Arabidopsis thaliana: one gene and its partner. The protein of the gene in region 1 interacts with the protein of each later gene in a pairwise test. Each region holds a gene or a part of one and is shown in the gene's direction. Other genes may lie near its edges.

Region 1 (3,930 bases):
TCACCATTGTTACAAACACGTTTCTTGTGTTTAATATTGTTCTCAGGAAGAGTTGGAGGAAAGTGCACAGACAACTATTTATGATAATTACAAATTTTTGGCAATGGAAGATCTGGAGAAGTTGCAGCTAACTCATTTGATTGGAACAGATCTTTTGAAAGCATCTATGCATGGATATTTTATTAATTACCATTTGTACAAAAAGGTGAGTCCTTAACATTTTCATAATACTTATACCATCAGAAAAGTCTTTTTTTTTTTTCGGGTCAAATTGGAATAGTCTCTATAATGTTTCTTCCTTTCTTTTTACAGGCTTTAGCAGTGATTGAACCTTTTGCATTTGATGATTACTTAGAACGTAGGAAGCAAGAGAAGTTAGAAGAGCAGCGTACGCAGAGAATCACAGTTAGTATTTAAAACCTTAGCAGCTATACGTTCACCATTTGTTTGTTTACCGGCTACTTACATACACATCTGTTTCTCTTGTGCTTCCTTCAGAAAAAGAGACGGTTGCCAAAGGTTAACCGAGACCTTGCAGCAAGGCTTCATGGGGACGAATCAGAGGAGGAAAATAAAACTGCCGAGGATGGGGAGGCCACCAAGAAAGTGCTGAAAAAGAAGAAACCCATACTTACTGACGAGCATTTCGTAGATGGTCGGTTTGGTTCGATGTTCCAAAATCCGGTATTAACATATTCTTTTCAACTTTTTTTGTTTGATCTTTTTATTGCTCTATTTCACATCGTATCAAACGTATTCTTGGGAATCTCCTTTTGGTTTTCAGGACTTCCAAATTGATAAGGACTCATATGAATATGGTGTCCTACACCCTGTTGCTTCTTCGAAGAAGCAACCTTCTCTGTTAGATGAACACTTTGAAGCTGTATCAGATGATGACGAGAACAGTGATTCTGATGCATCACAGCCTTCAGATGACGAGGCCGACGATGGAGACGCAACTAGGCCAAGCAAGAAAGCGAGAACTCCGAAGTTAGTGTCTTTTGACTGCATTCCAGGATCTACATTTGACACATTCTATCTTGATTCTTTTGTTTTCTGATGTGGATGATTTGGTGTCAGGTTGTATGAAGTGAAAGATGAGCGGCATGCCGCAGCTTATCACAACCGCACTTCACTGGCTAAAGAAGATAGTCTTCCTATGGGCGAGCGTGTCAAGGCTATAGAGAACCGGCGTGGCAACTTTGGAGGCTCGAAAGATATCAAATTCGGTCCTGGAGGATCACGGGAGTTTTCTTTCAAGGCGAGAGGGTCATCAAAGTACAAAGAAGATAGAGACGATGAGTATGAAGATGGGCAAAGAAACAAGAGGAGAGGAGTTCAGTCTCTTGGACTGAAATCAACAAATATTAGAGGCGGTTTCAGAGGTAGAGGAGGTGGTGGTTTTAGAGGGAGAGGAGGCGGCGGTTCCCGGGGAAAAGGTGGCCGTGGTGGTGGGCGTGGAAGAGGCCGGCAATGATAAATGTAGCTTTTCAGGGGCTTTATTAGATTTGAAAAATGTGTCACCTACTATTGAGAATCTTGAAACTTAATTGATCACATATACAATTTTGGAATATTTTTGACCTGGTCTTCAATCAGCACAACAGAATTTGCTTACTTGAGGCTAAAGGTAATTGATTGGAAAGAGGATGACCTAAAGTTGACCCTAGTTCGATAATGATTTATCAATCCGCATGATAAATCACCGACCGAGGGTTGTTAATAGCTAAATTAACAAAGCTAACATTGATTTAATAAAGTAATTAAAGAAGATGCTTCTGGTTTTTTTTTTTGGGAGGTCAACAAATAAATAAAATGCTTATGTATATGCTTACAACATGAGAATTGCTTATGTATATGCTTACAACATCCAAGTGTTTGGGACTAGGAAGACGCCTGAATCTGATTTACACGCGTCTTCCACAATTTCTTCAGGCTGAGTCATCTTTCAATATGTAAACTCTAATACTTAATACATGTAATATTCTTCTTTAATTTTTTATATAGCCAGTCTACTTGTGACTAGACCTTGTTCACCCGTGGGACATAGGCTTTGGCATGTGTCGACCTACGTCCTCAGATCCAAACATTCTTCTTTATAGTACAAGTCGTATAACACTTATAATATAGTTTGCGAATTTTTAAAGTTTTGGTTGTATAATAGTATAGTTTGTTAATTTATACTTAACCATAGAGATTGATATATTGAATTGTATATATCCGCATTATATATACGTTGGACAATAATATTCTACCTAAGTTCAGAACAATCCTAACCAAAGCAGCTTCCAAGCATCTAGAGAAAACAGAATCTACAATACTTGTCCTTAGTAAGCAAAAATGTGTGCATTAGTACCTCCATTGTTTCCAAACTTTGGGTGGCCATCAACGGGAGAGTACGACAGCTACTACCTCGCCGGAGATATCCTCAACAACGGCGGGTTTCTTGATTTTCCGGTACCGGAGGAGACTTATGGAGCTGTTACAGCGGTGACTCAACATCAGAATAGCTTTGGTGTTTCTGTTTCGTCGGAGGGAAATGAAATAGACAACAATCCGGTGGTCGTCAAGAAGCTTAATCACAATGCTAGTGAGCGTGACCGTCGCAGGAAAATTAACTCTTTGTTCTCATCTCTCCGTTCATGTCTTCCTGCCTCTGGCCAATCGGTAAGAAGCTACTCCGACTCATTGATTAGACCCGTTATAGTTTATGCATCTATACAATTTAGAAGAAGAATACTGCGTTAAACCTTTTTTCTTTCCTTTCTTGCAGAAGAAGCTAAGCATTCCTGCGACGGTTTCTCGAAGCTTGAAGTACATACCAGAGCTGCAAGAGCAAGTGAAGAAGCTAATAAAAAAGAAGGAAGAGCTCTTGGTGCAAATTTCAGGTCAAAGAAACACTGAATGTTACGTTAAGCAGCCACCAAAGGCCGTCGCGAATTATATCTCGACCGTTTCTGCGACTAGGCTTGGTGACAACGAAGTGATGGTCCAAATCTCATCGTCCAAGATTCATAACTTTTCGATATCTAATGTTTTAAGTGGGTTAGAAGAAGATAGGTTTGTTCTTGTGGACATGTCATCTTCAAGGTCTCAAGGAGAAAGGCTTTTCTACACTTTGCATTTACAAGTGGAGAAGATTGAAAATTACAAGCTGAATTGCGAAGAGTTAAGTCAGAGGATGTTGTACTTGTATGAGGAATGTGGAAACTCATATATATGAGAATTTGGTCTTGTTTCTTTATAGTTATGTTATGTCGTCCTTTTTCTCTTCGAAATCTAACATTCTTGACAAAGCGTTGTAGTCGAGTTGTTTCGTTTTTTTGGTCGAAGTCAATGATCGATTAGTTATGCTATTAAGTATAAACTGATTATTATGAAGTTCATGTTACAGCTATAAACTTTAATTTTCGCCTAGACTTTGAATGTTACTAATAAAAAATTTGTTTATGTATATCTTGTTATTTATATCCAGTTAAGACTAGAGTTAGTGATGTTTTGGTGTATCAATAGAATATAAAAACGAGAAAAGACAAAAGAGGGTATTTTATTAACAACTACTATATATCACTACTTGTGGGCAACATTATAGTAAAGAGTCTATGGGCTCCAATTTAGAAGATAAGTTATGTAATTAAGCCAAGTTGCACTTATGAATTAATAGATTGTGGTGACATTAAAGAGTTAATTAAGATTTATTAGGATAAATGATAAATGAGAAGCCATGTGGTTATCCATTGATCCTTTTTTTGTCAAAGGGTTATCCATTGATCTTGGAGTTATTATATACTAGAGGCAGTTTTTTTAATCAGAGTGGCATCACAGAAAAAAGTTTGGAGTATTGGTTTTGAAAGAGTTAAATCTTTGGATTTTTAGTTTATGTTTGTTTAAAAAAAGAAGAAGAAATGTATTGGTTTACTTGGCTTGGTT
Region 2 (3,930 bases), on another chromosome or scaffold:
TTTATTAGTGAATCCATGCCATTTCGGTTTTCAAAATTGTAACCGATAGTTACGGTTATCTGAAAATCTGACACAATACTTTATTGATGTTCATGAGTCATGACTTATCCGCTGTTGTGTTTCTAAAGATGTGCTGATAAGTCACATAAAAATTGAATTTGTTCCATGTCTGTATAGAGAAGAAAAGGAGTTTTCATATTTTCCCCATTTTTGTTGGGGTGAACAAATTAAAAGTTATCTGCTAGTTGACATGCATAAAGGTTAGAGGAAAAAGAAAAGGAAAAAAGAAAAAAGTTTGTCAAAATATTTTGCTTCATAAGTTTGTGACTTATTCAGAGTTATGTTTCTAAAGATGTGATAGGTACAGCAAAATTGTATTTGTTCCAAATGTCAATTAGTGAAGAAAAGAAAAAGAGTTGTCATATTTGTTGGAGTACTGAAAGATAATCATGTGGCAAAAAAAAAACGAAATAGGAAGAATTTCAGTAAAAATTATGCTAGCTTCACATGTATCAAATATATTTGAACCAAAGTATGCCATATTCATGAATTGTTTTTACAACAATTTTTATTTGTTTTAAACTCTAGAGGCTATATGTGAAAAAAAATTTTACAGCAAAAATAAGATTATATCAGAAACATTACAGACCGAAATTTACAGCCACGATCTAACCAAACATCTACTAAATTGACATAATAGCATTATTCAAATATTTATTTGGAAATTGGTTGATGTTTTTGAAAGTTGTGGAGTATCCCAAAAATCCAATGTTGCTCAAAAGTTCAGTTTCTCTAATAAATTCAACACCTAGATGGAATCTATAATTGGTTGACTTTTTTTTTTTTTTTTTTTTTACAGTTATATACCTGAAAAAATATTCCAACTTGAAATATTATAAAGAGTTGATTTTTGTCCTAACCGGCCAAGACTTTAATATTTTATACTGTCTTTCTTTGCTATCCTTTGTTTGTTTGTTGAGACAAGAACGAAAACCGTGCATTGAACAGGCTTCTTCATAATTTAATTGCGGTTTATCCTTAAATGATTTGAAAAATGGAAATGCATTTATCAAAAATAAAAGAAAATAATTGAAATGCTATTATATTCCAGAGTTGGTTTGTTATTTGAAAATTATGCTGGTTTAAGTTTATATTTGAAATTAATTTTGGCCGTTTTTCTACAAAACATATTTATCATATTGGAGTACTTTTTAAATACACTAACATAAAAATGTTGAGAAAAACTTTTGTTAAAATTCTAGCTTGTGACAACTAAACCAGTTGACATCTACAGTTGTAATAAGCCGATTGCAAATTAATTCCTAACATTTTAATAAACAAGAATATATGTGGATCTAAATTCAAAAATATAAACAGTACACTAACATTTGTACGTCTAATATCGTAGTAAACTTTTACTTATGAACACCTTTTTAATACGGTCTGATCGATTTATTTATTTATATAACCAAAACTCATATATATTCATAAACTAAATTATATAGTAACAGGATATATTATGAGCTTAATATACATGCTATATGCCTATATAAGGTCTTAATAACCAAAACTCATAATAATGTATTCATAAACTAAATTATATAGTAATATTTTTGGTATATTTTATAACTTTAAAAAACTCTAAATATTTGTGGTATTTTTGAAAATGGATAAAAATGATATTTTTGGAAAGTAGTATAATTTTAAAAAACTTCTCCCAATAAAGACATGACCAAAAATGTGTGTTATTTCTATATATATTTTTTTTTTTTTTTGATCAACATATACTCTTGTTTCTAATCTGCATTCCCTCCACCACAAAAAAAAATTCAAATGATAAAATATAAAGAAGAACAATGTGGAAATATAATTGTCATGCAACACGACAAATTAATCATTCGAGTAACATAATTTATACATATAATATACAGGTCATGCATGACATTACAAGACGTAACTGAATAAACTAATATCAACCAACTATCAAGAGTACATTTCTTTAAATTTGTTTTAATTGATTTCTTAACTTATTATGTTAATTAATACAGTTTATTTCATACTCACTCTATTATATAAACTCATTTTGTCTCTCTTTCGTTGTCAACAACTTTTCTTCATTGACAAAAACACACAAATGGAAGGAAGAGTCAACGCTCTGTCAAACATAAACGATCTCGAACTTCACAATTTCTTGGTCGATCCAAACTTCGATCAGTTCATAAACCTCATAAGAGGAGATCATCAAACCATTGACGAAAACCCAGTTCTTGATTTCGATCTTGGTCCATTACAAAACAGCCCCTGTTTCATAGACGAGAACCAGTTCATCCCAACACCTGTCGATGACCTCTTCGACGAATTGCCTGACTTAGACTCCAACGTTGCTGAATCATTCCGTAGCTTCGACGGTGATAGTGTTAGAGCCGGTGGTGAAGAAGATGAAGAAGATTACAACGACGGTGATGATTCTTCAGCCACTACTACGAATAATGATGGGACCCGTAAGACGAAGACTGATCGGTCTAGGACTTTGATCTCTGAGAGAAGAAGGAGAGGGCGTATGAAGGATAAGCTTTATGCATTGAGATCTCTTGTTCCCAATATTACTAAGGTAAGTCACAACATTTTCAAGATTTGGTAATGACTAATGAAACTGTAAATATTGATGAAGTATGTGTGTGTTGGCATTTAGATGGATAAAGCATCCATTGTTGGAGATGCAGTGTTGTATGTTCAAGAACTTCAGTCACAAGCGAAGAAACTCAAATCCGATATCGCGGGTCTTGAAGCTTCTTTAAACTCTACTGGAGGGTACCAAGAACATGCTCCTGATGCTCAAAAGACTCAACCTTTTCGCGGTATCAATCCTCCTGCTTCCAAAAAAATCATTCAGGTAATAACCTAAAAAAACCAATCAATCTTCTTGAAACATCAAAGTGTTTAAAGTTTGTATGTTTTGTTGTGTTAGATGGATGTTATACAAGTGGAGGAGAAAGGGTTTTATGTGAGATTGGTGTGTAACAAAGGAGAAGGTGTTGCTCCATCTCTTTACAAGTCTTTGGAGTCTCTTACAAGTTTCCAAGTGCAGAACTCTAACCTAAGCTCTCCTTCTCCGGACACATACCTCTTAACATATACCTTAGATGTAAATCAACTTGTGCCCTTTTACTTTGTTTTGTTTCCGAGTATACCGTTTACTTACCGAGTTTTCTTGTGTGGTGGAAACAGGGGACATGCTTCGAACAGAGCTTAAACTTGCCTAACCTGAAGCTGTGGATCACTGGATCACTTTTAAATCAAGGTTTTGAATTCATCAAGTCATTTACTTGATTCTATAACGCTTGCTCTAACGTGAGTCAAATCCGGTTCTGCACTATATTGATTGTGTACCTTTCTTACATGTTTCATAACTTCCAGGGCTCTAATTTCTATTCTAGTGATGATGTAACCGAGATTGTTGATTCTCTATTGAATAAACACCATGTTATATAGTAATTTAGCGACAAATTGTATGGTTAAATGAAGTAATATTTATGTTTTGTTTATAGTCTCAAGTCTTAAGTTTCTTTTGCTTTGATATATCACGTTTTGGTTCATTGGCTGTATTATTGCTTTGTTGTTGCAAGACCATTCACATCTTGATTCTATGTATTGTTCTCTGTTTGATTGGTAAAAGAATAAAGAATTTTAACCCCGAGAAAGCAGTACAGACGACCTATATGGATCGCCGACTCAACTCTAGGAACCTAATTTGTGCTTTGGATATTCATAACATGGTAAAACAAAAAGATTCTAATATTGTTGCTGTTGCAAGACCAAGACAGATGCCCTTGAAGGAAACTCCTTTGACGCTATAACATCTCCGAGGGCTCCAAGTTCCTCGAACTCTGTCCATTCATTTAATCCTTTTGTAACTGCGCTATTCATTCC

Evidence for each region.
Region 2: the proteins of bHLH39 (region 1) and FRU interact in binary tests that used the Arabidopsis thaliana proteins (3 or more experiments, as listed by UniProt).

What each region holds. Positions count from the first base shown.
Region 1 is NC_003074.8:21,085,905-21,089,834, reverse strand, and holds bHLH39 (basic helix-loop-helix (bHLH) DNA-binding superfamily protein), read left to right. Parts: upstream 1-2,124; 5' UTR 2,125-2,340; coding exon 2,341-2,667; intron 2,668-2,773; coding exon 2,774-3,223; 3' UTR 3,224-3,445; downstream 3,446-3,930. Other genes in the region: EDA7 (embryo sac development arrest 7), read left to right, coding at 47-205, 313-405, 499-684, 785-990, 1,081-1,477.
Region 2 is NC_003071.7:12,002,579-12,006,508, forward strand, and holds FRU (FER-like regulator of iron uptake), read left to right. Parts: upstream 1-2,079; 5' UTR 2,080-2,134; coding exon 2,135-2,611; intron 2,612-2,692; coding exon 2,693-2,893; intron 2,894-2,968; coding exon 2,969-3,145; intron 3,146-3,228; coding exon 3,229-3,330; 3' UTR 3,331-3,417; coding exon of another isoform or gene 3,418-3,425; 3' UTR 3,426-3,698; downstream 3,699-3,930. Other genes in the region: ATCHX7 (Cation/hydrogen exchanger family protein), read right to left, coding at 3,793-3,930. UniProt on the Arabidopsis thaliana protein: Transcription factor. Essential protein involved in iron uptake responses. Regulates FRO2 at the level of mRNA accumulation and IRT1 at the level of protein accumulation. Confers enhanced iron mobilization responses at low iron supply.